Linked DNA regions of Lonchura striata. The protein of the gene in region 3 purifies or fractionates together with the protein of the main gene of each other region. This does not show direct contact. Links are inferred from orthologs where the notes say so. Each region holds a gene or a part of one and is shown on either strand. Other genes may lie near its edges. The genes, in order: EIF3B, CSNK2A2, EIF3H and EIF3J.

What was found.
Region 1: the proteins of EIF3H (region 3) and EIF3B purify together in Homo sapiens (affinity purification with mass spectrometry; 10 studies listed by BioGRID and IntAct, counting the BioPlex papers as one, with this or other methods). This does not show direct contact. The link is inferred for Lonchura striata from reciprocal best matches to the Homo sapiens genes EIF3H and EIF3B.
Region 2: the proteins of EIF3H (region 3) and CSNK2A2 purify together in Homo sapiens (affinity purification with mass spectrometry; 5 studies listed by BioGRID and IntAct, with this or other methods). This does not show direct contact. The link is inferred for Lonchura striata from reciprocal best matches to the Homo sapiens genes EIF3H and CSNK2A2.
Region 4: the proteins of EIF3H (region 3) and EIF3J purify together in Homo sapiens (affinity purification with mass spectrometry; 3 studies listed by BioGRID and IntAct, with this or other methods). This does not show direct contact. The link is inferred for Lonchura striata from reciprocal best matches to the Homo sapiens genes EIF3H and EIF3J.

What each region holds. Positions count from the first base shown.
Region 1 is NC_134618.1:13,450,569-13,457,449, forward strand, and holds the start of EIF3B (eukaryotic translation initiation factor 3 subunit B), read left to right. Parts: upstream 1-3,861; 5' UTR 3,862-4,001; coding exon 4,002-4,389; intron 4,390-6,881.
Region 2 is NC_134615.1:17,523,611-17,531,083, reverse strand, and holds the start of CSNK2A2 (casein kinase II subunit alpha'), read left to right. Parts: upstream 1-4,468; 5' UTR 4,469-4,507; coding exon 4,508-4,611; intron 4,612-4,821; coding exon 4,822-4,933; intron 4,934-7,473.
Region 3 is NC_134603.1:15,127,536-15,134,573, reverse strand, and holds the start of EIF3H (eukaryotic translation initiation factor 3 subunit H), read right to left. Parts: upstream 3,014-7,038; 5' UTR 2,982-3,013; coding exon 2,862-2,981; intron 1-2,861.
Region 4 is NC_134613.1:24,048,863-24,056,691, forward strand, and holds the start of EIF3J (eukaryotic translation initiation factor 3 subunit J), read right to left. Parts: upstream 3,004-7,829; 5' UTR 2,934-3,003; coding exon 2,906-2,933; intron 2,825-2,905; coding exon 2,724-2,824; intron 1-2,723. Other genes in the region: CTDSPL2 (CTD small phosphatase-like protein 2), read right to left, coding at 7,741-7,806. UniProt on the Homo sapiens protein: Component of the eukaryotic translation initiation factor 3 (eIF-3) complex, which is required for several steps in the initiation of protein synthesis.

The DNA.
Region 1 (6,881 bases), on a different chromosome or scaffold from region 3:
TTAGTCAGGAATGATATAGCTGACATGGTAAAAAAAAAGGTGCATGTTTTGTACAGCAATTTTCCTAAAAACACTGTCAGACACAGAAAAAAATTTATAGATTTTGGACTTCCAGATTGAGGTGTTACAATCCATAATAATGCTTTATGTTTTCAACGTCCAAAGGACTAGATGCATTCCCTAATTAATATTCCTGATATTTCTTAATCATGGGAAGCTAGTCACCTCCATTGTGCACAGGAGAGAACTAAAGTAGAAAATTATGAAGTGAGAATTATTTCAGGGCTAACTGTGACCACAGTGCTCCCCTTTGGAAGTTTTTGCGCTGCTACAAAGATGTGAATGAGTCGAGTGATTCTCCTTTTCCTCCTCCCTCAGTGCTATTTCAGCTCAGTCCCCACGAGCGTGGGTGCAGACGAAAGCTGTGTATAAAATTAAAAAAGCATGACATTATTTAAGCTGAGAGGCCCTTCAAATCATGTTTGTGCAGCAGCTGAGCAGAGTTCTGCGTGCTCAGCACTTCTGAACACCACAGGATTTTTCGCCTATATGGCATTTTTGGAGAAAATGAATGGAGGAATCAACATGTTCTCATTTAGCTATAGATTTTTGATTGGTCTGTACTTAAGCTAATAGCATAACTATTTATTTGGTATAAATAAGATATTCTCAACTGAAGATTGCCTTGGAGTCTTGAAGAAAAATATTGTGGAAAATAATTCAATTGCAGAAATAATTTTTCAACAGGATCAGAAAGAGTCTGCTTGATGTAAGTTATTGAACACTTCTGTATTTGCTGTAACTGCAGCAAAAGCTTCTGGAAAACCTTAAGAATAAACAATAAATACTAAAGAAAAAAAAGGACACATGTCAGGAAGGGACCTTAAAAATCATCTTGTTACAACCCCATTCTGTGGGCAGGGACACCTTCCACTAGCCTGGGTTGTGCCAAGCCCCATCCAGCCTGGCCTTGGACACCCCCAGGGATGGGGCAGCCTCAGCTTCTCTGGGCACCCTGTGCCAGGGGCTCCCCACCCTCACAGGGTAGAGTTTTTTTCCTAATATCTAATTAAATAATCCTAATATCTAATCAAAACCTACTCTATTTCAATTTAGTAAATAGTCTCTCTCCATGTTTCTTGCAGGCCGCTTCTGGTATTGAAAGGCCACAGTCAGGTCACCCTGAAACCTTCTCTTCTCCAGGCTGAACAATCCCAGTTATCTCATCCTTTCCTTCAGGAGAGCTGCTCCATCCCTCTGAGCATTTTATTGGCCTCCTCTGGACCTGTTCCAAGAGGTCCCTGTCCCTCCTGTGCTGGGACCCCAGAGCTGGATGCACGACTCCAGCTGGGGCTCACCAGAGGGGCTGAACCAGCAGGTTCCAGGTGACAAAAGCAAAGCAGAAATAGGTCCCTACCCGAGGCCCTGCCTCACAGAGTGTCATTCTGGGCACGTCCTGTCAGGATTAGATGAAATTTCATACAAGAATTTGCTTACTCCTTCAGAATTCAGTTTAGGAAACAGAGCTGTCAGCTCCACTATTCTCAGATCACCTGCACGCAATAAAATTCATGAGGCACTGCTGGTTGGAGAGCTGTGTTACAAAAAGCCTTTCCTGCAACATTTTTTCCCCCCAAATTTCCCATTGATTAGGAGTTTTGCATGTGGAGTACTTAAAGGAACAGGCTTCAGCTGCCAGTGCCAAAACCTCTGTTTTTAAAAGTTGTTCTACTCTCCCTCAGATTGCTGAGTAAGGGCTGGAAGAAAAAAGAATAGCAGTGAGATAGGACAGGGACTGAGGGGAAATTTCAACAGAGAAAGGAAAAGGAGAAGGAAGGAAGAGCAGATAAATCAAAAGTTGCTGAAAAGTAGAGGAAAGTGCAAAGAGCAGCCTGTGCAATGTCAGGGAAAGGAGAATCCAATGTTTAGATCCACTGCTTAACCAAAGGACTGGAAAAGTGCAAACAGGAAAAAGGGCAATTGCAGAAATTGCACATTCCAGCAATGCAGACAACGGTGGGAACGGTGAAACAACAGCAACACCGACCTCATACACAGCCCTGGAAGAGCCACGGAATACTGAGCACCCAGCAGGGACCATGGATTGACCAGCAGCCTGTCCTGCCTCACATTTGGAAAAACACACAGTTGTGATGGCAGGAAACAGCACTTTCTGTTCACTTCAGAGTCAGTGCTGGTGCTGACTGGAAGTCAGGGTCTGGTCAGCTACCACGATACCAGGAGGGGGAAAAATTGCTGCAAAGTGGCAGTCATCATTTCCATTCACCGGAGCTGCCTTCAGCAGGGAACGGGCACACTCAGCCGGGGGACTGGAGTGGAGTTTGGATGCCATCGTGTGCCTCCCTGAAAAATTACACAGCACAAAGTCTAATTTTAAAAATGCCATGTACAGTACCTTCTCTGCCTTTTTTTTTTTTTTTTTTTTTTAATGCTGGCATTGTCTGTTTTGACAGTTAATTGAAAGCATTGTGCTAAAAAAAGAAATCCTACTCAACGCAAGTGTTTGTCTCCAAGTTTGTACAGAGGAACCATTCTCGAGAACTTTTTCCTCTAGAATTGTCATCTCAAGGTAAATTCCAAGTTCTTTGAGCCACACTGAATATACGATATATATATATATATATATATGTGTGTGTATATATATATGTACATATATATATACATACATATATATGTATGTATATATGTATGTACATATATATGTACATACATATATATATGTATATATATACATATATATATGTATATATACATATATATGTATATAAATACACATCGTGACACGAGTCACACTTTATGTATTCTTTGTATTCTTCATCAGCCTGAGGTGCCCGGGACAGCATGCGATGCTTTAATCGATAACGTGTGGCCAAGTCTCTGGGGTCAGTCATGCTGGTAGCCAACGTGAAGATAGGGGAGCTTCACCAGTTCAGAAACCATTTAAAAATCACGCTGAGCCGCCAGGACTGCACACCGTGACCCCTCAGATCCCTGTCCTGTGTGTCCGGCTGCACCGGGAGCTCACCGGACCTTTAAGGCTTCTCGCGGGGCAGGCAGAGATGCCGCAGCATGGCCACTGTCACCTTGTACCTCAGGAAAAATGTTATTTCAAGCCCACAGAGGAGAGGTGGGGCCAGAGCAGCGCTCGGTCTCCGCCGCCGCCCTCAGCCCCGCGCCCCGTCCCGCCCGGCTGATGTGGCGCTGCCGCCGGGCCGTACCACATGGCCCCGCCGCCGCGGGGGGTGCGCTGACCCGCCGCCCTCGCCGCGCCCCGGCACAACCGCGTCGATGCTGGCGAAGCACCGCGCGCCTCCCCCTCCGCACCGGCTTGGTAGTGCCCGCGCGCGCGCCGACTGCCATCAGGCGAAGCCATAGTGAAAGATTGTAGGGGGGAGCGGTAGGGCGAGGTTCGTGGCAGTGCGCTGCCCTGTCACCGCGGCATTGTTCTGTCACCGGCCGCTCAGTCATGGGCAACGACATGTGCTGAGGGAGGAGGTTTCACTGGGCGTCAGCGCAGCTAAATGGAACGGCGCCCCCCAAAAGATGGTTCGGCCGGACCCCACCCCAGTAGAATGGAAGGCGGCGCCATCTTGGGCTCAACCACAGCAGTCAGAAATAGGGATGTCAGGCGTGCAGTGGGGTGAGAAGGCGAAGCCGCCGCCGCTGGCGGAGCGAGGCGGGGCTGGCAAAGGCACCGGAATCTCCTGTGCGCGGCGGGGAGAGCGGGCGGCGGCGGGCGGCGGCGCCGGCTGGGGCGGGGCTCCCCCTCTGGCCGCGCGCGCGTTGGTAGGTGCCGGCGCGCGCGGGCCGCTGGGCCTGGCGCACATGGCCCGGCCGTAGGAGCCGCCCCGCCCCTCCCCCGCCTCGCCGCGCTCCGGACGGCTCCGGGACCGGAGCACCGGGCACCGGGCACCGCACCCACACCCGGCACCGCACACACACCCGGCACCGGGCACCGCACCCACACCCGGCACCGCCCCATGCAGGACACCGAGGAGAGCCCCGCGGCCGCCGCGCCGCCCGGCGCGCTGGGCCCCGCCGAGCAGCCCGAGCTCACGGACGCGCCCGCGCCGCCCGCGGAGCCGCCGCAGGAGCCGGAGCCGGAGCCGGAGGAGAAGGAGGATGAGGAGCGGGAAGGAGGAGGCGAGTCCCAGGGGCCGCCCGAGGAGCCCGAGCAGCCGCGGCCGCCGTCCGGCCGGCAGAGCCCCGCGCAGGCCGAGCCCCAGCCCGAGCCCGAGCCCGCGGCCGGGGCCGAGCCCGGCGCGGCGCAGCAGGACGGGGAGGCCGCGCCCGCAGCCCCGGCCGAGCCCGAGGATGAGATCTCCTTCAGCGACCCCGAGGACTTCGTGGACGACATCAGCGACGAAGGTGCGGGACGGGGGGAGCCCGTGGGGAGCCGGGGAGCGCTGGGCCCCGAGCCCTGCGCCTCCGCATCCGAGCTGTGCTTCTCAAATCGTCCCTTTTTGAGTTCTCTCTGCACCGCACAGCCCCGCTGCTCTAAAAGCTGCTGTTGAAGCGGTTCTGAGCCGCTGTACACCTCAGGTGTGGGCTGCCCCCTGAGCGCAGTCTCCAGCTGCCTTGCCTTTTTGCTCCACTGGTTAAACTCAGCTGTAGAAACAGATTTTTTAAATGGTCGATGTGGTTACAAACTGTGTTTCATCGTTCTTCTTTTTTTTTTCATGAGCCCAGAATGAAATCAGTAGGTAAATAGGATTTGAGACGAGTTACTGCTCGCAAAGATGTGATGTAAGTGCTTTGTGATAAGAAAATAGGGGAAAGTCGTTTCTGGCAGCTAAAAATGTCGGCCCAGACTTTTATAAAAGTACTGGCTGTTGACTGCCTTAATATTGCCAAACTGTTGTGTATCTGCACAGACAATAAATGTTTATACATGGGCTTGTCATACAGAAGTGAGAACTCTTAATTTAGTGTTTTTCAGATGGGTCTTTCCAGATAAATATTCTTAGTTTTTGAATAGCAAACGTATTTTTTCCCCATTATTTATTCAGCATTTGTGCTATTTTAGGGTCTTTAGGGTCTGTTACATGTATCAAAAGTGGAAAGATGCTTCTAAAGCACAGAACTGTAAATCAGCCAGTTATCTCAACTGGCAGTGGAATACAGGTGCATTCTTGTGCTCCAGTCCTTGGTTTAGTTTACTAAAACAGCAGCCAAATATCCTAGATTAAGGAAGTGTTTGCTGTTCTCAGTTTAGCAGTCTGTATGGCAGCTGTTTGAACTTTTGTTTCTTAAAGAGACTTTGGCAACATTGCCTTGGAGTTGGATTCTTTCTGTTAAGTGCCTGCTTAATACACTTTGTGTATATGTGGGATTGTTATGTTCAGTTCCTTCTTAGAAACTGGGCATATTTTCCACCCCCACCTATTTTGTTAATTAATTTGGGTGAACTTCTCAGCTGCCTGAAATCCAGTGTTAGTGGCTGAATTACAGGGATTAAGTTTAGTCACTCTTGTTGATCTGGCTTTCCATCTGTGTGTGTTGCTAGTTGAGCTTCCTTATTCCTTTCCCATTTTTCTGGTGCCTCCCCAAGGAGAAGAGCAGCCCAGTGTGACCAAGCCAAGGCTCTTTCAATGCTGTGCTAACACAGATGCTCAGGAGTACCTGTGGGATGGACCAGCTGTAGGACTGGAACATCTCAGATCCTTTCCTGCCTCTTCTTTTCCCAGCTGCTGGCATGGAAGAGCAGCTGATCCGAGTTAAAGCAGAAGGGATGTGTTGGACAGACACTTGGGTACCAGTGAAGCTTCAGTTCAGATAATGGCAGTGGTCCTTAAAGTGCTGCCAGCTGGAGATAGCCCTGCACCCACCACACCCTGCTTCCCTCCTGGCTGCAGCAGGAGCTGGCTGAACCAGCTTCTTGCTCTTTGAAGATTCCTTTGTTCACTATTTGGAATTTAAGGGCACGGTGTGGGAATTTGTCTTCAGTCTGTTACAGTTTTGGTTCTATACATGGTGTTCCTACTCAGGAATCTAAACGTGCGTTCCTTGGCCTACAAAGTCTTTTTTGAGAAGTGGCTATGAAAAAAATGCCTAAAGGAGCCTTAATTACCCTTTTGTGTTTTACTTTGGTTTTCTCCTTTTGCTAGTAGACTCCTATGGAAATGTCTTTGTAGGACATGCTTTCATTTTATGTATTTTATATCGTTATTTGTAGTTCCTGCATGCACATGCAGATGATATTTTTGAGTGATAAATATTGCAAACAACATTCTGTGGATGCTACATAGCCTTGGTGGTAATGGGGTAGATATTTGTGATTTATGTTGCTCCAGATCAATGGGAAGCTTCATGTGGAATAATCTGTTGAAGCTTGAAGTTGTACAAAGCAAATTTTTAGTAGTTTGAAATTCAAAGTAAGCATGTTTCTCATTTTTCCTCATTGCTGGAGATCCTTCCAGTGATGTTTCTGGGCAGAAAAATTTATTGAATTACAAAACCAACAAAAATTTAATGTCTTTGAAATATAAGCATATACAAAACATTTTTTAGTTTGTTCTCATATTTTAAGTTTTTCTACATGTGTTTGGAATTTTATTTCTTAGTCTATGCATGCTGTACATAGTCTGACTCCAAATATTATCTAATTCAAAAGTATGGTGGTGTGAACTTATTTTCTCTGTAGTCTTGTACTTTATAGTGCTCTTCACTTAATCTTAAAGCTTTCTGCAAATATTCAGGTATTAATATGTTAGAAGAATATTCAGTGTGAAAAGATGTGTGCTTGTCTTCACAAAGATTAAATAGGGCTTTCAGTGTCTTACCTTAGACCTTCATTTTTGTGCTTAATTAAAGGTTTAGCTAGAGTGTGATTCTTAATTACAGTGATGCTGGACATGCAG
Region 2 (7,473 bases), on a different chromosome or scaffold from region 3:
GGGTTGTGCTGTACAGACTGGTTTGGCTGGGTTGGTGCTTTACTGTGGTTGATAGATTTTTATCAGATGCTTTTACTTGTTAAATTTTCCTTGGTTGTGGGAACAATCCAGCAAATAGTAAAAATGATGGAGCACCAGGAGACGTGCAGCCAAGGAGATCATTTGTTTGGCTGGATCCCTTCCTACACAAGGGAGGCTTTGTGTGAGCTCACAGAAGAGCCGTGTTCATCTTGCTGTGGGTAGAACTGGCAGCAGGCTTCAGGCTTTGTCTCCTTGCAGAGTCAGGCTGGCTTGGTTCTCCACGGAGCCGAAAACTCATTATTTCCAAGGTTACAGCCAGGCTGCTGGGAGGCTACAGCTCCTTGTGAGAAGTGCCTGTCTCCCAGCAGCATTGCCAAGGAGGCAGCCGTGCCTTTGGACAAAGGAAGAGGTTTGTGCTGGTCTCAGAAAGGAATTCCATGCTGCCTGTGAGAGCTGCCATGGGGGTCGTGCTTCTTTGGCAGTGCTGACCTCCTCGGAGAGCTGCAAAGCTGGGGGAACCCATGGCCTGTGGGTCAAAGACACGGGCTGGTCATGGTTCCACCAGCACCTGGTCTCCAAGGTGGACTGCTCTGGTAGAGGTACATATGCAAAACTGGAAACTGATCAAATGCATGTGTGGAGGATTGGCTGCAGTGGCAGGGGGTGTGATGGCAAAGGGACAGCCCTCCCCGGGGTCTCCTGGGGTGCACATCACTCCTGCTCCTGCAGCACCAGCTCCCAGAAGCTCCTGACTAGGCACTGCCTCTGGGCTCCTTGTCACCAGCTGGGCCAGGCAGGACTCAGTCCAACAGCTGGGTGCTGAAGGCTCCAGAGGGGTGCAGGCAAACACTGGCCCCCTGCTCCCATCTGAGGTACATCTGCACCACGATGGATGTTTCTCTGTCCGTGACACTACAATCTTCCTCTTACAGACTGCTTTGTCACAATCTGGATGTAAAACTGGGGGGAGCAGTAGCACCAGTCCTGAAGGCAGCTGTCCCTACAGGCATGCCTAGTTTTAGGAGCTTTGTGAGGGTGTGGAGAATCATTTGTAAGTATCCCTGTTTCTGGATCTAGACCATGGCACAGCAATGTGCTCTGACTTCTCTGTGCGAGATGCTCAGGGCCAATGGCAGTGGATGGCAGGTCTGTTTAAATGTGTGTGTCTCCTCCAAAAGCTGATGATGTGGCCAGTGATGCTTCACCACAGCTTTTTTTGGGATGAGGGATGCAAGTCAATCTAATCATATATACATGAGAAAAATCAATGCCCTGGCAAAGCCAGTCCTATTTCTGGCTAGAACATGTCAAAACTCATCTTCAAAATGCATCTTGAGTCATAACCACATCCAGTTCACAGGAGGAACCTCACTTCCTGGCCTTGTTGGGTGCAGGGATGAACATCCTTCATTGTGGGATCTTCACCACATACAGAACTTGACACCAGAAATTGAGTGGTTTGGAATGAAGAGGAGGGAACAGCATGCATAGGGCATACCCTGGAGTTCATCTTTGGATGCAAGGTGGGATGAAGATCCCATGAAAAAGCTGAACATGTGGACATGAATTAAAAGCTGTCTTCAAAGCAGTGCTTGTGTGTGTTGGCTAAGATTGCAAAGATAACTCTAACACCCTGTCTCCACACCAGGCCATGGCTGTGATGCCTCAGCCTGCCACAGGCCATGTTTCAGTAGGTTAAAAGGAGAGGCATCTGAGTGACCCAGCAGAGCCATGATGGGTGGTGGGCAAGAATGGCATCACTGGACAGCCAAGAGATTTTGCAGATGCAAAATGTGGAGTGCAGATTTTTGAAGTGTTTATAGCTCTGTCCAGCCACACACAGCTTTTCAAAGGTCAGCAGGAGACCTAGCATATCTCTGCCAGAAAATTTGTCCCTTGTCCAGAGATCTTGTCTTAATGGCTAAACAAATATTTTCCTTGACTTTTCCCAGGTGGGAAACACCTGGGCTGTTATGGCCAGATTTGAAAATAATAATAATAATAATAATAATAATAATAATAATAATAATAATAATAGTAGTAGTAGTAGTAATAGTAGTAGTAAAAACAGACCTCTAGCATTTCAGTGAAGGTAGGTAAAGCTTGGCAAACTTCCCATAACTGCAAACTGGGCTTTTTGCTGTGGGCAGTGCTGGGCAGCATTAGAAGGCAGCAGGCAGCCGTGGTGCCCAGAGCTGGGCAGCCCAGGCACCAGCTGGAGGAGCTGGCAGCAACTGGCCAGCTTTCCTGCCAGGAATCAGCCTGGCAAGCCAGTTCAATAGCCTGCCTGTGTCCCACTGGAAAACATCAAGGAAGATGTCACCAGTGATGAAATTGCTGACAACTCAGTGGACTCTACCAGGAAAATTATCCATCAGAAAAAAAAAAATTGCCATCTCTATGCTTGAGCATCTCTGCCCAAATAGTAGCACCATGTGGAAGAGAAATTCCCTTTTAGCACAGGATTTTGCTGTGGTCCCATGCAGAATTTGCTGTGAGAGATGAACATCTCAGCTGTTTAGCAGGGCAGCTCCAACCACCTCACTCTGCAAAAACAGCCACATGCACATCCTGGCGTCACAGCGCCGCTTCAGCTGGTGACTCAGGCATTGGCCTTTGCATATCTGCCATCAGCTCCAGTTTATGCAGGGCCTGACTGCTTTGCTTATGCATTTCTACATCTCCAGATCCTAGGAGATGATGTTTGTCTTCACTCCACAGTCGTGGTAGGAAGGGCCAGTCAGCTGGGCTCAGGATGGGGCAGCCTTCCCAAAGGACAGATGATCTTCCTCTTGCTTTGTTAAGACAGGTTTCGCAGGAGTGGGTGTCACATCTGCCTTTTCCCTCCAGGGCTGACTGCCCCAGAAGAGCAAGCATCATGAACATGTCCTCCTTGTTTTCCAAAGATCCTGTGAAAGTCCTGCCTGGTCTGCATTCAGTCAGGACTCAAAGTATGAAATTATAAAGTCCTCCTGGGTTTTTTCATCATTCAGTCTCAGGCACACAGAAAGCTCACTGGGTTTTTCAGTGTCTGGTTGAATCCACATGCTTATCTTTCCAGACCGGGCTGCACCCAGCCCACATGGGCTTGAGGAAGAGCTGGGGTTGGTAGCTCCCCTGGGACTCAAGGAGGTGAGGTGGATTGAAAATGTGGTGATTAGCAGCACAAACTCTAGCTGGAGGCCAGTCACTAGCACAGTATCTCAGGGGTCATAACCACATCCAGGTCTGTTGGGAAGGAGCTTTTCTGAAAAGGATCTGGTGATCTTAGCAGGCACCACACTGAACATAAACCACAGAGAAGACTAAGGGTGTCCTGGGTTGCCTTAGTCAAAACATTAACAGGAGGTGAAGAGAGGGGATGTGCTCAGCCGTGGTGGATCACCGCTAGTGCTTTGTGTCCAGTGCTGGTCCTCTCAGTGCCACGGAGATAGGGGCACAGTGGGGAGAGGCCAGTGAAGGTACACGGAGGTGAATGAGGGACTGAGAGAGGGGGCAAAGCAGAGGGAGCCAGGCTCTTCCCAATGGTGCCCAGTGCCAGGACCAGAGGCCACTGGCACACGCTGGAACACAGGAGGGTCCCTCTGAACTTGGGGAAACACTTTTTCATTGAGTAGGACCAAGCACTGGCACAGCTGGCCGTGCACGTTGTGAAGGCTCCATCCTTGGAGATGTCCAGCAGCTGTCTGCACACAAGCCAGGACCGCCAGCCCTGGGTGACCCTGCTGGAGCAGGGCTCGGACCAGATGACCTCCGGAGGAGCCGGCTGCGGCTCTGTGAGCTCCTCCAGAGGAACACGGAGCCTTTTGTTCACCCCAGCTTCCACCTTGGGGCTGGCGAGACGTGATGGGGCGACAGGAACAAGGAGAGAGTGCGACTGCAGGCGGCGATGGGGTGACAGTATACCAGGGCTGTGGCCAGGCTGAGGTGGGGTCGTGAGGGGGCAGAGGTGACGCTGTCCGCAGCGGTGTGAGGGAGTGCCGGGGGTGTCAGGGTGTGGCGGGCGTGCGCCAGGCTGCGATGGAGCAGGCAGGGGAGGCTGGGGACGGCTCGGCTGCAGAGGGTTGCCGGGCTGGGCGGCGACACGGGACGGGTGGCAGCAGACCGGGAGGCTCCGCGGCGGGACCCGGCGCCTGAGGGGCGGGCGCGGGGCGGGCGCGGCCGCGGGGCCGGACCTCCGCGCCGCCGGGGGGCGCCGCGCGGCGCTGGGCGGGCGCGGCGGCGGCGCCGCCGTTTCCGGGTTGGCTGCGCGGCGCTCGGGGCGGCCCCGCCTGCAGCCGCCGGCACCGGGCCCGGGCCTCGGCAGCTCCGCGGGCCCCGCGCCCGCCGCCCCCGGGCCGGCCCCGCCCCGCCGCGGCCCCGCTCCGGCCTGGCCCTGCCGCCCGCCGCCGCCGCCCTCCTGCGCGCCGCGCCCCGCCTCGCCGGCCTCCCGCGCCGGCCCCGCGCCCTCCTCCTCCTCCTGCTGCAGCCGCCGCCCGGCGCCGCCATGCCCGGCCCGGCCGCCGGCAGCCGGGCGCGGGTGTACGCGGAGGTGAACAGCCTGAGGAGCCGCGAGTACTGGGACTACGAGTCGCACGTCCCGAGCTGGGGGTAAAGCGCCGTGCGGGGACCCGCCCTCCCTCCTCCCGCGGGAGGGCCCCGGCCCCTGGGGAGGATGTCCCGGTCCCCCGCTCCCGTGCTGGGGTGTCCCGGGGGGCTGCGGCGGGGAGAGGCTGGGAGAGGACCCCGCTCCCCGGCCTGCTGCCGTGTTAGTTGTCCGCTCTTCCCCCAGCACCGCCTCTCTCCTCTTGGTGCCCGCAGCAACCAGGACGACTACCAGCTGGTTCGAAAGCTCGGCCGAGGGAAGTACAGCGAGGTCTTTGAGGCCATCAACATCACCAACAACGAGAGGGTCGTCGTGAAGATCCTCAAGGTGAGTATCCCGTTGATGATGTAGAGGCTTGTGGTGGCTGGGAGCAAGACAGAGAGAAGCTGGGTTGGCAGGGCCAAAGAACTGTTGGATCTCTTTCTTCACTCCAAAACTCCTGTTTTCTCGTTAAGATCATTGGGATGGTGTGTTTGGAAATGGAATTGGTGTCTTGAGTACTGTAGTGATGTTCTGATGTCTCCACCCCTCCTTGTCCAGCATAGCTCAGGGCTGAGAGTTCCTCTGGTGGGGGAGAGCCGAGTCCTGACATTTGAACAGCGTTGCGTGTTCTGTCTGTGTTTGGCAAATCGTATCTGGCAATGCCTGTCTGAAACAGCCCAGGGACAGCCATTTCAACAGGAATGTGAAGCCTGGAGGGGGGAATCCTTCTGTTAATCTCTAGACAGCCGGCATGTGGCCTTTCCAGAGCCAGGCTGTGGGATGCTCAGCAGTTTAAAAAGAACCAATATTTTATATTCAGTCCTTTAGAGGATCTGATGTGGAAAAGAGCTTCATCACAGTCATACTACAAACACTATGGAAACTTGAGGGGGCTCAAGGAAACCTACCAAACTTTGGCAGTGCTGGTGATCTGTTTGCTGGTGTGTTGAACCTGGTGGGGTTGAGCTGTGGGGACCTTTGTGCAGCACTGGGAGGTTGTAGTTTGGGATGGCTGTGCACAGGTTATACACTGCGGGGCATGTCTCACCATGTTTGACACTGAAGCAACAGCTCACAGCAAGCTGTGCTGATTGTCCTAGCAGCACTCTGTGTTGGTGATCTCGGGGCAGGCAGGGGAGTTAAGACAGAGATGAAAGGTTAGAGTTGCAGTATGTTTGATTCTGGCTTGGCTGACACTTGTGGCTGTCACTTGTTGCACCAGCAACACTTATCACTTGTTCCCCAAGAGCACGTGGGAGCCAGTGTCTGACCATGGGTGTCCTAAGAATTTGGGCACACATTCATCCACAGCATGCAGGGGGTTCTGAGCTTAATGTGCCCGTGCACCACTGAGAAGAGCAGCTTTCCGGGACATGCATATCTGCAGGGCTGTAGCCTTAAGGCACTCACTAGATCCACTCAGATGGCATGTCTGGCTGTCTCTGCTGACATTCCCACTCTCTCAGTGTGCCTGCTTCCTCGGGATCTGCCTTAGCTTCCCAAAGAACTTGTCATGGTTTGTCCAGCCAGCACTTCTGGGAAAGGTATCATCTTCCATCTGCCTCTGGGAGGAGGCACGCAAACCCCAGCTTTGGCTGTGGGCAAGGAGGTGGCCAGGTGAGCTGTCCTCTGTGGCTGAGCCTGATGTGAGAGTGGTGAGGTTCATGTGTCCTTGCCAAGCCAGGTTCCTTTGGCGTGCTCCCCCTCCTTTGGATTCTTCTGTGGTTTGGGGTTTTGTCTTTTTTAAAGCAGATGCAGGCAGGAGTTTTTGCTGTCAGACAGTAGTCACAAGTGGCAAGTGCAGAGCTGGATTTTACAGCAAGATGCCTGGTGGCTGGCCTGGGGAAACTGTGCACTTGTGCATGCTCCTCTGGAGCCCTTGGTGGCCTCTTTGGGACTGCTGTAGTTTATTGAAATCCTAGCTTGGGCACCACATAGAAAGGCACCGCAAGACTGAAAGGAGGCTGCAAGAAAAGTCATCAGAAACCCTGCTCCTTGCCTGTTCCCAGCCCAAAGAGCCTCCCCTGGGGCAATGCTGCTCTCCTTGTGGCAGCTGAACTCTGTCACAGCTAGGGAGCCTGTCAGCCTTGGACAGGGAGTCAGCTGGCAAGAGTCATCTGAGGGCAGCTGGGTGCTCCTTCTCCTTGGGGCCTGAATGTGTTGCCTTAATGCCCTGCAAGCAGGAGACTGGATTGTCCCAGATATGAAGTGGATGGTGTTGCCACTGGTTCCCCTGGCTCTCTCCACTGGCATTAAAATGCAGACAGCATTCCTGTGAGTGAGCAAGGAAAAGCAGAAGGTCCAGATAAATAAAGATGAACTTTCTCCTCCGTGGAAAGTGGGTCAGTGAAAAGGGAGTTTCAGAGCACCACGTTGTGTACATTATGAAAACCTGTGAAGTGTGGCAATAACATCACCCTGATCTGTGGAAAGTGCCTCTGGTTTCCTGTAACTAGACTCAAAACTTAATTGCAAACATAATTGCATGTATCTACAGGGGAATCTTAGCAAAGGGACTGGATGTCTCTGCTCCTCCTAACTGGGGAAAAATTTGGATTCTGTGAGATGAGAAATGCAGGTTTTTGTGTGATGCAGGGATGAGCTAAAGGGAAGTACCATGGTTGGGCAATGGATGCAGCTGTTTAGCACAGTCCTTTCTCTTTAACATTTTTGAGAGTACAATTTATGTTAGGTGTTAGGGTGAGTTTCACCAAGAGTCACTGTTTTGATATCTCAACTTCATGGAAAGTCACTGGTGTGTCTTCCTAGCCTTTGCTCTTTGAAGCAGCTTGTCCTTACTGAGCCCAAGCTAGCACATAGCAAGTAATTCCCCTGCTTTGGCATTGTAGTACCTGAACATCTTGTACCATCCTCCACAGAGGTCA
Region 3 (7,038 bases):
ATTTAAGTGCCACATCTACATGTTTTTTCAAACACTTTTGAGGAATGGTGATTCCACCACACTGGGCTGCCTGTTACAATATTTAACCACTCTTTCAGTAAAGAAATTTTTCCTAATATCCAATTTAAACCTCCCCTATACTAACCTGAGGCAATTTCCTCTTGTCCTATCACTTGTTACCTCGGAGAAGATACCAACCCCACCTGGCTACAGCCTCCTTCCAGGGAGCAGAACGAGTGGTGAGGTCTCCCCTGAGCCTCCTTTTCTCCAGGCTGAACACCCCCAGCTCCCTCAGCTGCTCCTCTCAGATTTGTGCTCCAGACCCTTCCCCAGATATGCTCCAGGGCCTCAGTGACTTCCTTGTAGCAGAGAGCCCAAAACTGAACATGGGATTTGAGGTGCAGCCTCACCAGTGCTGAATGCAGGGAGACAATCATTCCCCTGGCCACAGCACTCCTGATCCAGGCCAGGAGGCCACTGGTGTTTTTGGACACCTGGACACACACTGGCTCATGTTTGGTTGCTGTAAACCAGCACCCACGGGTTCTTTCCCACCAGTCACTCTCTCCCAGGCCTGTGCACCACTGTAAACACAAGCTCTCTTTGGGCTCCTTGACTGGAGAAAACTATCCAAATTTCTACAATAGGAAGGACAACAGGACGCAATATATGGCACTTGATCTGATCTTTTTGTCAGGATGGCCAAAAACAAATACGTGAATTCTTACATCTCACCTGAAAGAAAAACACATTTTATAATGTGCTTCTGGAGGGTTATTTTTCACTCTGCATTTTCTAATTTTTTACAAAGACCAGGCCATCTACACTGGAATCTATTTTCAATCTAAGTATTTATTAAGAAATTGAGAAGATTAAAGTAAGAAAGAAGTTAACTCCAGGATGCTTCATCTGTACCAGATTTTAAAAAGAGGTCTGAGAAGCAGACATTGCTGCATTGTTACATATTAAGGTAACAGCATAACATTTAGAACTTCTTATTTTCATGACAGATACTGGGGTTTTTTAATTTATTATTCCTCTGAAACACCAAGCTTTTTAAACATACTTTCACCTTCTCACATACAGAGATAACTGATGCATCTTCTATTTTGCCCTCAGATTCCAAAGCAGCCTACCTAGACATGCCTTTGCTTTCAAAGCAGCCCCATTTGAAGGATTAATTGTGACAATGCCAAGAGAAGAGACACCACTGAAGAGAAAGAGATCACCAACTCCCCTGATGCCCATCACAATTCAGAATTCTTGGCATGTAATCACCCTGGTCATCATCAAGATGACTGAGGAAGTCCTGTTAATTTGTGAGGGCAGATAAGACATTTAAACCAGTGAGGTATCAGAAACACTTCAGAAGAATTTCAGTAAGACATTTGAAGGACTTATAACTGAATAAACTTTGTTTGCAAAGCAAACAAATTTATGCCAACGTTTCTGTCCATCACAGATGTCAGAGAAATTTATGAACCAATGTCAATGTCCTGAGAACACTTTGGCTAGGAGACATCTTCAGGGGTGGAAAGTTGAAAGCTTTCATAGTTTTCAGTAAATCACCTCCCTCTGTAGTGACACTGTGTGAGAGGCACCACTGTGCTGCACCAGAAAAAAATACAAGGAGAAGGGAAAAAAAGCATGAAACAAACAAATAAAAAAATCCTAAACACTTGCTGGACTGTCAGAAGCAGAGCATCAGAGACACTCACAGTTGATCTGAAACAACAGCAGCTCACAAAGCAGATTATATGCCTGATAGAGAACAATCAGGAGCAACATAAATCAAATTTACCAGCTTTTATCTAAGTGTTTGGCACCAGCCTGCAGCAGGAGCAGTCTGCTATCTACTGCTGGGTTTTTACGAACATTTCACAACCAGTCAGTTTTCACCACTCCTTGAAAATGCTCCATGCACCAAAGCCACGGGCACACAGATAGCTGGACAGAGCAGGGCAGAAAAAATGGGATTCAGATTTCCTCTTTCACAAGTCCTTCTACACACAAATAAATTATTTTTCATCTTCCCAAATATTTACTACACTGTATATCTCCAGGATAAGAGCTGAGGACTACCACTAATAATGCCAAGCAGGCTTCAAAGTTTGTCTCAAAACTATGATTTTATTTTTCATAACCAGGGTACCAACTCCTTCACACTCCAGCTGTACAATGTTCTACTGACACTTGGCAAAGCTAATGAAGTAAAAAACAATGTTTCCACCCCTAAGTAACTTTTTCTCCTTGTGTCATTAATAGTGTTACCAACTTTCTAAGGCCTGAACCAACAAACACAAAAAGATCCAGCAGCACAGCCAAGAACCACCTTCAGTAGATGCTCTTCCACTTCAGGCCTGCACTGATTGTCTGTATTAGGATGGCTCTGTTCTTTGTCAAGTCATTTCACCCGTCACTTTATTTTATTTCCCATTAAGCAAACGCAGGGGGTCATGGCAGCCCTGACAGAGAAGGCAAAAAGCACAAGGGTGAGGGAAAAACCCACCGTGCTCTCAGCTCTTAGACCTGCGGCATTTTCTGGCAATAGGGTATGACTGTGAGTAGAAAAGCAGCAAAGAGCAACTCCGGGCACAGGGGCGGCGGAGCTGGAAGGTGAAATGGGACATTTAAAGAGAAATCACTCTGCCCCGGCCCGGCTTTTGCTTACACGGGGCGCGAGCCGCTCCCCTCACACGGACGAGGGCGGGAGCCCGGCCGCAGGGACGCGAAGCCGTTCTCGCCCGCGAGAGGCGCCGGTCCCAGCAGACACGAGGCTCCCGCGGCACCGCCCCACGGCGGGCCCCGCCGGCGGCTCCAGCGGCCGCCTCGCCCGCGAAAGCCCCAGGCCCCCTGCTCACCAGCCCGTCGATCTGCACTTGCTTGACGGCCGAGTCTCCCGCGGCGGCGGCCTTGCCTTTGCCCTTGGCGGCGCCGAAGCCGCCGCCGGCAGCGCCCGAGCCTTCCTTGCGCGACGCCATGGCTGCCCGCGGCCGGAAACGGAAACGCGCCCGCCGGAAGCGCCCGCGCGGCAGCGGCGGTGCGCGGCCAAACGGGCCCGGGCGGGAACGCGGATCGGGGCCCGGCACGGCGGCGGTGCCGGCTCGGCCCGGCCCGGCCGGCCCGAGGCTGCCGCAGAGCCTGTGTGGGTCTGGGCCAGCTCATCCGACAGGAACGGCCGGGAGAGCCGCCCTGGCGCCTGCCCTCCCCACAGAGTCATTGCCTTGTAAAACCGCCACGATGTCCAAGCTGTGCCCAGACGCGCCGTGTCACCTGCACCACGGCGCTGAGTGCCGCCTCCAGGCGTCTTCAACACTTCCATCCATACCGACTGCACTGCACGGGCAGCCCATTCCGGTGTTTAATCGTCCTTTCTGTGAAGAAATTCTTCCTGATGTCCAACCTCCCCTGGTACAGCTTGAGGCCATGCCCTCTGCTCCTGTCACCCTGGCGCTATTTACCTGGGAGATGAAAATTAAGAAAAGATGTTCTTTGACATTTGCTCTTGGTGTATCTTCAAGCCTAATCAACAAGAAAGGAGACTTAATCTGTGAATTAGATAGCAGCTAACAAGGGCTAAGTGATGTCCAGGCATTAGAAATTAAAAATACTTGTTGCCTTGTTAAGGACTAGTGCTGGATATGCTTCAGTGATCTCAGACCTAGGGGGAAGTTAACAATGAGCTTGGGAAGAAGGATGTGCCATTGACAGTGGGCACAAAGAATGCAGAATTTATGGGCCACGAGGACATTTGACAGACCCCTCAAGATGAGGAAGAAACTAATAAGGACAACTCAACAACTGTGCTGCATCAGCTTCCATGAGGTAAAAAGCAATTCCAGCAGTGGAAAATCATGACTCAAGAAAGCCACCAACTCAGAGGAAGAGGAAGACTTAGCATACAGACTAATTAACATGAGAAGTGAGAGAATCATTAACCAATAGAAGATAGAACACTAATTAATAAGATAACTAAGTAACTTCTTATGAATGAACATTAGTGCCTTTGTTAAAATGCATAAATAGTGAAAAGTTTTGGTAGTCATTTTGCTGGCTTTGTGGATTTGCCACCCAGCACCCCTTTCTGCAGAGAAGTGTAAAAAAATGAAATACCTCAGCTCTGTGTGGATTGGCTTCTTGCACACCAGGTGAAAGAACCTGTTTGGTACCACTTACAGGGAGATGTAGAGAGCAACATGGTCCCCCTTGAGCCTCCTTTTCCCCAGGCCAAACACCCCCAGCTCCCCCAGCTGCTCTTCATCAGACCTGTGCTCCAGAGCCTCCACCAGATCCATTGTCTATCTCTGGACTTGCTCCAGCCCCTCAATGTTCTTCTTGTAGTGAGGGGCCCAGAACTGGACACAGCCCTTGAGGTGTGGCCTCACCAGTGCTGAGGGGAGGGGAAGGGTCACTGCCCTGGTCCAGCTGCCATTTGGCCCCTGGCAAAGCATTTCTGACAGCCCAGAAACCTCCATCTGTGCATTTCCAGGGCCACCTCAGGCAGTTCTGATTCCACAGTGATGTGAATTCCCAGCCCTGTTGCTGGGCCAGCCCTGGGCTGCAGCGAGGGCTCCCCAGCATGGTTGAGGAGACTCTGGTCTTGAGGAAGTATTTACGCCTAATAAACCTGCAAATGTTAAGGGACATGTACTTCTTATAGATTTGAAAGCTTTGTGTAGTATCTTTACAAAAGGCAAACTGCTGTGGGGTGATGTGAATATCTGTCCTGAGCATGAATAACGAGACATCAGTGCCAACTCTTAACATTACACAAATCCCTGAACTATCAACTTCTGCAATTCTCAGGAATGAGTTTGGGTTGCATTAAAACAGTTGGTTTTGCTGCTCCATTTTGTTTGAGGTAGGGGTTTCTTGTGTGAATTTTTTTAAATTTAATTTCAAACTCTTCAAATTCCTTCTGAAAAATGCAACGCGCTATGAAAGGCAGCCCTACCAAACCCCCCAGATCTGTTCAGACACTATGCCAAATATGTGACTTCATAAAAATTTATCTTTTCAACAGTGTAGTTAACAGTCATTTCTAATTAAGGGTGAGGAACATATTTATCAAGACCAATATTAAAACGTATCTGCATTTGCCTGCGGCCACAGACCCAACATTTGCCTGTTCCTATAAAACGATTCTAACATCACTTAGAATAGTCCTTATCAGTTGCTTGCATTGATGCTGGAGCAAATTGAAACAAAGAATTGAGTATAATAATCATCCCAGCAAGGCAAAACATATCCTAAATTCCACTGACATCACTGACTAAACTGCATTGACCCTAACAAGAAATCTGGGCATCCAGAAGAAATCTGGGCATCCAGCTTTGCTGAGGACACCTTGTGATAGATGTCTAAAGCAGGGTATGATGGATCCCACTTCACATTTTCCATTGGGAAAATAATTCTTAAATGGAGATGAAGGGGCAGTTCAGAATGGCAGCATTGCTATGTCTGAGATTGCAAGGCAAGATGTATTCTGTTGCCATCTGTTAGAGGTGTGTCAGTTATCTTCTCTTAATTGGACAGTTTTCTTTATCTCTTCCGCAAACCAATCCTCCCACCACGGAGACATCTGCTGTTAATGGGCCATTGAATGTCACTGCATGACTGATAAAAATTACAGCATCCCACTGCAAAATGCTCCTCCCAGAGGGAGGAGGCAAGCATTTCCACCTGGATATAATGAGTTTCTGGAACATCAGCATGGCTTTTTCTGCACTGGATTTCCCAGAGGAATACCTGCCTCTTCTACTGCATCTTCAGAGGAAGACTACACCCTTTTCTACAGGATTACTGCTCCAACAGAACCACACCTAACCCTCCAGGAGTACTGCAGCCATAATTCCCAATTGGACTGCTGCCGACACCCTGACTAACAGGGTGTCAGTTGTATTCTGTCAGTGTTGTTTTAGTTCACTGCATTGTTTATTTTATCTTTTTCTTTCCTAATAAAGAACTGTTATTCCTGCTTCCATATTTCTGCCTGAGAGCCCCCCTTAATTTCAAATTGGTAACAATCCAGAGGGAGGGGGTCTATATTTTTTTTTTAACATTTCAGGGAAGGCACCTGCCTTCCTTAGCAGACACCTGTCTTTCCAAACCAAAACACACTGAGGTCAAATGTGCCTTGTGCCCCAAAGAAACTGAAGTGCATGTGCAGTGGGATCAGGGAGATTTCCTACAAGCAGTTTGTAGAGAGGCTGATGCAATAATATCCCTGATCTTCAGGGCAGTGTGCTGTGGCCAGCGAGCTCAGCTATCATGTAGGTATTGAGTCCTGCCCTTAGGTTTCCATGAAGGCTGCACTCCCACTGGCATTGACTTCTGAAGTTTTCCTAGATAATGGAGTTAATTCAATATTATTATTTAACTTAGCTGTTATATTAACATGAATATCCAGTTTTAATTCACAATATAATAGTCACAGAATCACTGAATATGCTGAGTTGGAAGGGACCCATCAGGATCACTGAGTGCAGCTCTGGCTGCACAGGACATCCCCATGACTCACACCATGTGCATGAGAGTGCTGTCCCAATGCCTCTTGAGCTCTGTCATGTTTCATGCTGTGACCACTTCCCAGGGGGGCTGTTCCAGTGCCCAGCCGCCCTCTGGGTGAAGAAGCTTTTTCTGATCTCCAACCTAAACCTCCCCTGACTCAGCTTCATGCTGTTTCCTCAAGTGCTGTCACTGGTCATAAGGGTAAAGAGATCTACACCTGCCCCTTTGCTTCCCCTCCTGAGGAAGCTGTAAACTGTCATGAGGTCTTTCCTCAGTGTCCTCCAGGCTGAAGAGACCAAGTGACCTCAGCTGCTCCTCATACAGCATCTCCTCAAGGCCCTTCATCACCTTGGTTGCCCTCCATTGCCCTCTTTAATGGTTTAATATCTTTTTATATTGTGGTGACCAAAACTGTCCCCAGCATTCAAGGTGAGGCTGCCCCAGAGCAGAGCAGAGCAGAGCAGAGCAGGACAAGCCCTCCCTTGCCCAGCTGGTGATGCTGTCCCTGATGCCCCAGGACAGGGTTGG
Region 4 (7,829 bases), on a different chromosome or scaffold from region 3:
GGGAATTCCGAGTCCTGCCAGCCTTGCCTGGTTTATAAATCCAGGGAATTCCGAGTCCTGCCAGCCTTGCCTGGTTTATAAACCCAGGGAGTTCTCTGGGAGGAAGAGCCAGCTGCCTCATGCTGTGTCCTTGCAGTGATACAGTAATTCCCAGAGAACACATTCATTGCCCAGTATTTCAACACTGTTTCTGTGTCCTCCAGCAGCCCAGGAACATCCTCCCAGCAGCTGGGAGGTGGCAGGGACTGGGCCCTGGCTCCCAGCTCCAGCCCAGCTTGGGATGGAGCAGGCACTGCCCTGTGCCAGCCCTGAGTCAATGGATGAAAATCCCCTGGCAGCAGGCCTGACTTCTGGGGAACGTGTGCTGGGGAACACTGCGAGGAGTTTTGTTACCAAAGGTGCTAATTTTAAACCCGGGAAGCTGACGTTTCCCAAATTAACAGTTACTGCAAACTCATTACCAAAAACCCTTCCAAAACACAGATCTGCAGATACAAAGCACACTCCTCAATGTGAGGTGCCTTAGGAAAGCCGTGGCCAGAAAACTTTGTGCTGCCACTTTAGACCACGTCATCCCTCACGTGGGGATTTCCCCATGTGGGGCCTGGCACCGAGGGATCCAGAGCTGAGCAGGAGTCTGGCAGGAAGAGCAAATCAAAGGGAAATAAACCAAAATAAACCACCTTTCTTTGCTGGATCCTCTCTAGACGCAGCTCTGGCACCAAACCCATCATCCCTCAGAAATAGTCAAGCAGCTGCATCCTCACGACACATAAGATGTAAAATGTCTTCCCACTGCCAGGGGCAGGGATGGATGGGATACTGGGAGGGATTGTTCCTGGGAGGGTGGGCAGGGTGTGGGATGGAACTCCCAGAGCAGCTGGGGCTGCCCCTGGATCCCTGGAATGTCCCAGGCCAGGCTGGACAGGGCTTGGAGCAGTGGGAGGCGTCCCTGCCATGGCAGGGGTGGGACAGGATGGGATTTAAGGTCCCTTCCACCCCAAACCATTCTGGGATGGCATGTGGGGAACATTTGTTCCTTTATTAAACACAGACCCCTCAGGTGACTCCAAGAGAAGCACTCTGGTGCAGTTCTCCTGGGCACATCCCATCCAGCAGGAATGCTGCTCACTTTCTAAGGAAGGAGGAAAGGCAAATGTCACAGTCTGAGCTACAGGTGTCTGTGCACACCTGTCAGTCACAGAGGGGTCAGTCACACACACCTGTGTCACTCCCACACTCTTTCCCAGTGCCCGGAGCTGCTGTGCACACACCGTCCTTGTCCTGCTGCTCTAACCTGACACCGGGACACTGGGCTGGGCTTGCTACTGAGTTAAAGAAGGGAAGTTACCAAATTTCTGTGATTCTGTGTGTATCTTCAGGGTTTTTAAAAGATTAACTTCTTTTCCTGTACCGTTTATGGGAAGAACTCCACCTGAGCCCCAAGAAAATCTCGTGGTGCTTTTCAGAGATCCTGGTAACAGTGTCCTCAAAACCAACCCCAAGTCCTCACCCAGCGCTACAATGTCCCAGAGCTGGAGGAAACAAAAAGAACTTTTGTAGTTGCCTTATTCCACTGACAGAATCCTAGGATGGTTTGGGTCTGAAGGGGCCTCAGAGACCACCCAGCTCCACCCTCTGCCGTGGGTCGGGACATCTTCCACCCTGCCTGGCTGCTCCAAACCCTGTCCAGCCTGGCCTTGAGCAGTCCCTGGCACTATCCATATGGATCCGGAGGTTTCTGTGGCACCACCAGCCTTCCAGGGGAGTCCAGCAGGAGCAAACAGCGTTTGAGGGAGCTCTGCCTTCGGAAGCACCAGCAGCGATCATCCACAGGTTCTATCCCACCGCCGTGCAGACAGCCCGGCAGGACGCACCTCGTGGTGAGCGGGGCAGGATGAGGTGGAAGCTCAGGAGGAAAAGACGCCCTGGTGGAGCACAGCCGCTCCCGGCCAGCAGCAGAAGCACCAACGCAGCGCTGCCGTCCTTCAGCCCGTCCCGGCGCCTCGCCAGCGCCCCGAACAGCTCCACGGGCTGCAGCCAGCGGGGGCACAGCGCCCCAAAGCCGGGGAGCAGCCGGGGAGCGGCCGGGGAGCGGCGGGTGGATCCCGCGGGGAGCGGGACGTGCCGCTCCGGCAGCGTCTGCGCGACCCTCCCCGCCCGCGGGGCCCGGGACAGCGGCACCGGCACCGGGCAGGGCCGGCCCGGCTTCTCTTGGCACCGGGACGGAGCCCGGAGCCGCCGGCACCGGGAGCCCCGGGCTGTCCGGTGCCGAGCCCCGAGCCCGCCCCGCAGGTCCCGGGACAGCGGCTGCGGGCAGGGCCGGCTTCTCTTGGCACTCCGACTTGGCTCCGTGACCGAGCCCGGAGCCGCTGCCGCGCGGGCGGAGCCGCCGGCACCGGGAGCCCCGGCACCGGGAGCCGCCGGCACCGGGAGCCCCGGCACCGGGAGCCGACGGCACCGGGAGCCCCGGCGCCGGGAGCCCCGGAACCGGGAGCCGCCGGCACCGGGAGCCCCGGCACCGGGAGCCCCGGCACCGGGAGCCCCGGGCTGTCCGTCCCGGCCCCGCCGGTGCCGAGCCCCGAGCCCGAGCCCGGCCCGGAGCCGCGCACGCCGCCCGCCCCGCCGGGCCCGCGGCCCCGCGCTCGGGCGCCACACGGCCGCGGCCCGGCCGCCCCCGCCGCCCCCCGGAGCCGCCAGCGGCGGGGCCCGCCCGGCCGCACCTTCACGTCGTCCTCCTCATCCTCGCCGGCCCAGCGGTCCCCGGCCACCCCCGGCACCAGCCGCTTCGCCACCGGCTCCACCACCTCGAAGCTGTCGGCGTCTGTGGGGAGAGGAGCGCGGTGAGCGGCGGGGAGCGCGCGGCGGCCCCGGCCCGGCCCGGCCCCGGCCCCGCCGCACCCACCCCACGAGTCCGCCGCCTCCGCCGCCATCTTGGCCCGACCGCGGCCGCCGGGCGGCGCCGCGCGGGGCACGCCGGGACGGCGGCGGAATGACCGGGCCCGCCCCGGAGGCGGGGCCCGAGCGCGGGAACGGGGCGGGGACGGCGCGAGGGGCGGGACCGAGAACGGGGCGGGGCCGGGAACGGGGCGGGAACGGCGGGAGGGGCGGGACCGAGAACGGGGCGGGGCCGGGAACGGCGGGAGGGGAGGGACCGAGAACGGGGCGGGGCCGGGAACGGGGCGGGAACGGCGGGAGGGGCGGGACCGAGAACGGGGCGGGAACGGCGGGGGCGTGGCCGGGGCGGGGCCGGCGGGAGGGGCGGAGCCGGAGAGGGGGCGGGACCGGGATCGAAAACGGGAACGGGACCGGGAAACGGGATCGAGATCGGGGCCGGGATCGGGATCGAGATCGGGGCCAGGAACGGGAACGGGACCGGGATCGGGACTGGGATCAGGATCGGGACCGGGATCGGTACCGGGAACGGGATCGGGAACGGGACTGCTGCTGGGAACGGGATCAGGATCGAGAACGGGATCGGGATCAGGATAGGAAACGGGATCGGGATCTGGACCCGGACCCGGATCGGCCCCGGGACCGGCATCCCGCTGCCCCGGCCGCAGCCCGGGTCTGTCCCGGGGCCGCGCCCGCCCGGGAGCGGAGCCGAGCCTGGCCGCCCGGGACCGGCCGTGCTCCGGCACGTACCGGCACGGCCCGGCACGGCCGGCACGGCCGGCACGGCCCGGCACATCCCGGCACATCCCGGCACGGCCCGGCACATCCCGGCACGGCCCGGCACGGCCGGCACGGCCCGGCACGGCCCGGCACATCCCGGCACGGCCGGCACGGCCCGGCACGGCTCGGCCCCGCCACGCTCGGGCCGCGCACGCCGCGGCGCCAGGCTCCGCTTCCCCCCGTGCCCTGCAACGCGAACAGGAACGGCGGAGCCGCTCGCTGTTCGCTTCTTCACCGCCAGTCCCAGCTCCCCTGAGAACCCCGCACGTGGAAAAGGAGGATAGATTTTGTCCGGAGAGAATAAATTTAGAACGTGTCTTTCATAAACCAAAGCAATGATCTCGGTATACGTCTATATAAACCACACACGTGTGTCTAGGAAAAACACGAATTAAAAATAGAGACTTCCAAAATTATCATCCTTTTCCTGTTCTTCTCCATTTACCAGACAATATAAATAATAACAGAGCCATACCTACGGATCAAACAATGCCACAAGTTATATCCTCACCAAGTCTACACATCTTCACAGCCTCAGGGTGCTGTGGCAGGTGATCACAAAATCACCAGGAATTGTGCAGTAATTTGGAATACGTTAATACTGGAATATGTAATTTGGAATTCTAAGGAATTACACAGAACGTTTAAATTTTTCCTCGATAGTAAAACACAGACACAACTTCTTCCACTTCAAGGCTGAAAACTGTCTTGACTTATAGAAAACTGAGGCTCAGTGAAGGATATCAGCTAAAAATCATAAAAACAGAATCCAGAGCATAAGTGTTTAATTACATCTTTGTGCTTCTGTAGACTAGAAATGATTGCAGAAGAAACAGAAATCCATAGCACAGGACTTCTCTTCCCATCATATTTAACAAGATTCGGCCCCATCAGTACAATGACATTTTTGCAAGTACCAAGAACAAAACCTTCTCCTCCTCCTCCTCTCCCGCGGGTCCCTCCTGCCCGGGGCAGCCCTGGCACTGCGATGCTGGGCAGGGCAGGGCAGGGGACGATGCTGGGCAGGGTTTTTGTCACAGCAGGGCTTCTGTCACCCTGCCAGGGTGGCTTCCACATTTCAGGGCTCTCCCCAAACGCCATCCGTCCCTTCGCCGACACCGTCCGCCAGTGGTTTGGGAGATTCCCCATCCAGTCCGGGCACATTCGGGCTCCTGCTACATTCAAACCATGGAAATCATCAGGTGGGTGAATCCGAGGTGGGGGAAGCAGGACCAGAGGCGAGGGCAGTCCCAGGGAAAACAAAAGCCTGAACAGGAACTGCCACCCAAGGGCTGGAGTGTGACCGAGCTGCCAGAACCAAGGGGCTCCAACACAGAACAGAATCCACGGGGACACGGCAAACAGGCCACCACAACCCAGCACAGAGCACAGAGGAAATCATTCAGAACCTTGGCAATAGGATGCGGTGCCTTCCGTAAGGACAAAACCATATTCCGTGAGGGATGGGTGATCCAGCTGCACGGTGCCCTGCTCGGGGGGCACGAGCCACGCTCGCACTGGCTGAGCCTGCCCAGGCACGGGGGTGGTGCTGGGGACACAACCTGACCCAGAGCTCGGCACGGGAACAGGGAACTCCCCCTCGAGATGAGCATGACAGAAATAAAACCTGTGGATGAAAACTGCTCCGCACCAGGAAGGTTTGCAGGAGGCAGGAGCGCTCTGCAGAGTTCAGTGGTAAACACCAGGCTTGCAGCACAGGAAAATATGAATATTTAATATGTTTACTAAGAATCCCTGTCAGTCCCGTTGTGCACCGATGCAGAGCTACGTCCCCACGTTTACATTCGGGCTTCCCTCGCGGATCTGACGGGCACAGCACGCACACAGCTGGGAAGTGCGGCGTGCCTTTGGTTTCCTCAGCTCTGGAAGCACTTTTGGAAGGGCCGGAGCCACAGAGGACCTGGGGATAAGGATGTTACTGGAACAGGTGAACATCCCATCACGGCTGGAAAAGGCCACGAGCTACAGGTGGGCTCCGTCTGGCAGATCCGTGAATTTTACAGCAGGTCCGTGGTGTGGAGGAACGGGAGGAATCCCCTGTTAGGCAAAGCTCCAGCAGGGAAGCGAAACCCCTCGGACTCAGATTTACACGGCGAGGAACGAGTGAGGAAGGGCTGCAAACCGAGGGGCAGCTGCACAAAGCTGCCCCTTGCAGGGTCCATCCATCCAGCTCTCCACCAGGGGACACGGCTGCACCAAGCAGATGTAAAGGTAATGTTCTGTACATTTTATTTCAATAAAGACATAAGACAAACAGCGTAAAGATGCCCAGATGCCCTAAAGATAAATACATTTAAAAGATTCTCATTAAAATGAATCTGTAGTATTTCTTTCCTGCAAGCAAAATACCTTTCTTTAAATACAAAAAAAATCAGTATTCTGAATTGCAAACGTTTTCACTTTTTTTGCAGAAAATCTGCCATGATGACTTTGTTTTTAATGAATAAGGATTTTCCACAAAACAGGCTTGCTCTACATGCTAAGTTTTAACAGTTCAGTGACACCATGTGCTAGCTACATACACAACAGATAATATAGTAAGAAAACACTCAACCTGATGAAAAGTTAAAATCTTCATTAATACACTGGAAAAAGTTGACATAACTCATGCCTTTTAAAATCAAAAATACAAAAATTAAATGTTTTGCTAAAAAGATTTTCCTTATTTTAAGGACTCATTTGAAAATGAAGCTGCATGTAATTTGTACAATAAAATTGTACAAGTAAACAGGTAATATACATAAAAAATTAATTGACATACTTCTCAATTATCAGCTGTCCACCTTTAATTTCCAATACTGTACTTTCTTATCAAGCATACAAAATAGCAAACTTCTCTTTAGAAAAAGTGCCGTTCTGTGACATCTTTTACACAAAACCAGTCCGAGCCTGTGGCGTGGTAATGCAGTCGAGAGGCAAAGCTTCCTAACTCGTACAAATGCTACCTTCCATAGAAAGCCTCCGGGAAAGGCGACTCCCACGGCCAGAAAAGGTCCCCTCGGGGCGCTGCATTAGGAGCCAGGGCCGGGGTGGCCGCAGAGGAACCGGGAGTGTCGCGGGAGCCCTGCCCGGGGCAGCGGGAGCAGCCTGGCCACACCTGCCAGGTGAGCACACAGCAGAGCTGAGGTATTCCTTGTCCATCGTGGCGCCGCTGCCAGGTGTGCTCTGTCCAGAGGACGTGCCAGCGCACTGCTTTAGGATATTCCCAATATTAGTAATCCTTATCTTCGTCTTATCTAGCCAGTCTCTTGATTTTTTTTTGAAAAGGTTTCGACTACAGTAGAATATTACAGAAAGAAAATATAAATGCGGGGTTTTTTTGTTGGGTTTTTTTTTTTTTTTTTCTTTCTAAATGAAACTTACGTGGGCTAAAACTAGAGAATATTTTTAAACAAATATACAGGATGCAGGCAGACAAAGCAGGGAAACGGCCAGCCAACTGTTTAATAAAAAACTAACAAAATTTGGCTATTTCCAGAAAAACTATGAAGCGCCTCAACTAAAAGGAATGCATAATGAAATTCTAATCTAATACAGGTCAAAAATGTAAAAAGGTTATAAACCTTAACAGGAAAAATAAAACAACTTTTACTGGCCATTCCTGTTGAAATGAGAATCTTAAAAGTAACAGAAAAGTGGCTACAAACCCACTTAGAGCACCGAACAGAGAGAAAATCCGAGTCCATTTTCAATCTCTGTTGTATCATAAAATCCTGTGTTTCTACAGGTCAAACTGCTGGTGGCAGAAACAGAATTTTCTTTATAAACTGCAGATGTCCTGTACATAAAAAATTTCCTTGGAGTTGCACTAGTTCTAAAGACTTTTCTGTTCTAGCCTCCCTACTGCGGGTACTGGATTGTACTGATGGCGGCAACCTCAGGTGCAGAAAGTCTCTTTCTGTAACCCTTGATCATTGCTGGGCACCAAAGATAAGAAAAGCAAGACGGGGTACAAAAATGCAAAATTTCAACAGTAATGGCAATGTTTTGTATTAGTCCAACAGGGTCCTGCATTTCCTCCCCTCGGCAGCGAGAGCAAAGGCTTTAATCGGGGGGTAGCAAATCATGCAAGCGAAATCTGTCTCTGATGTGAGGTCGGACGTCTTCGTTCTGTGGGGGAAAGGGCAGGTTTA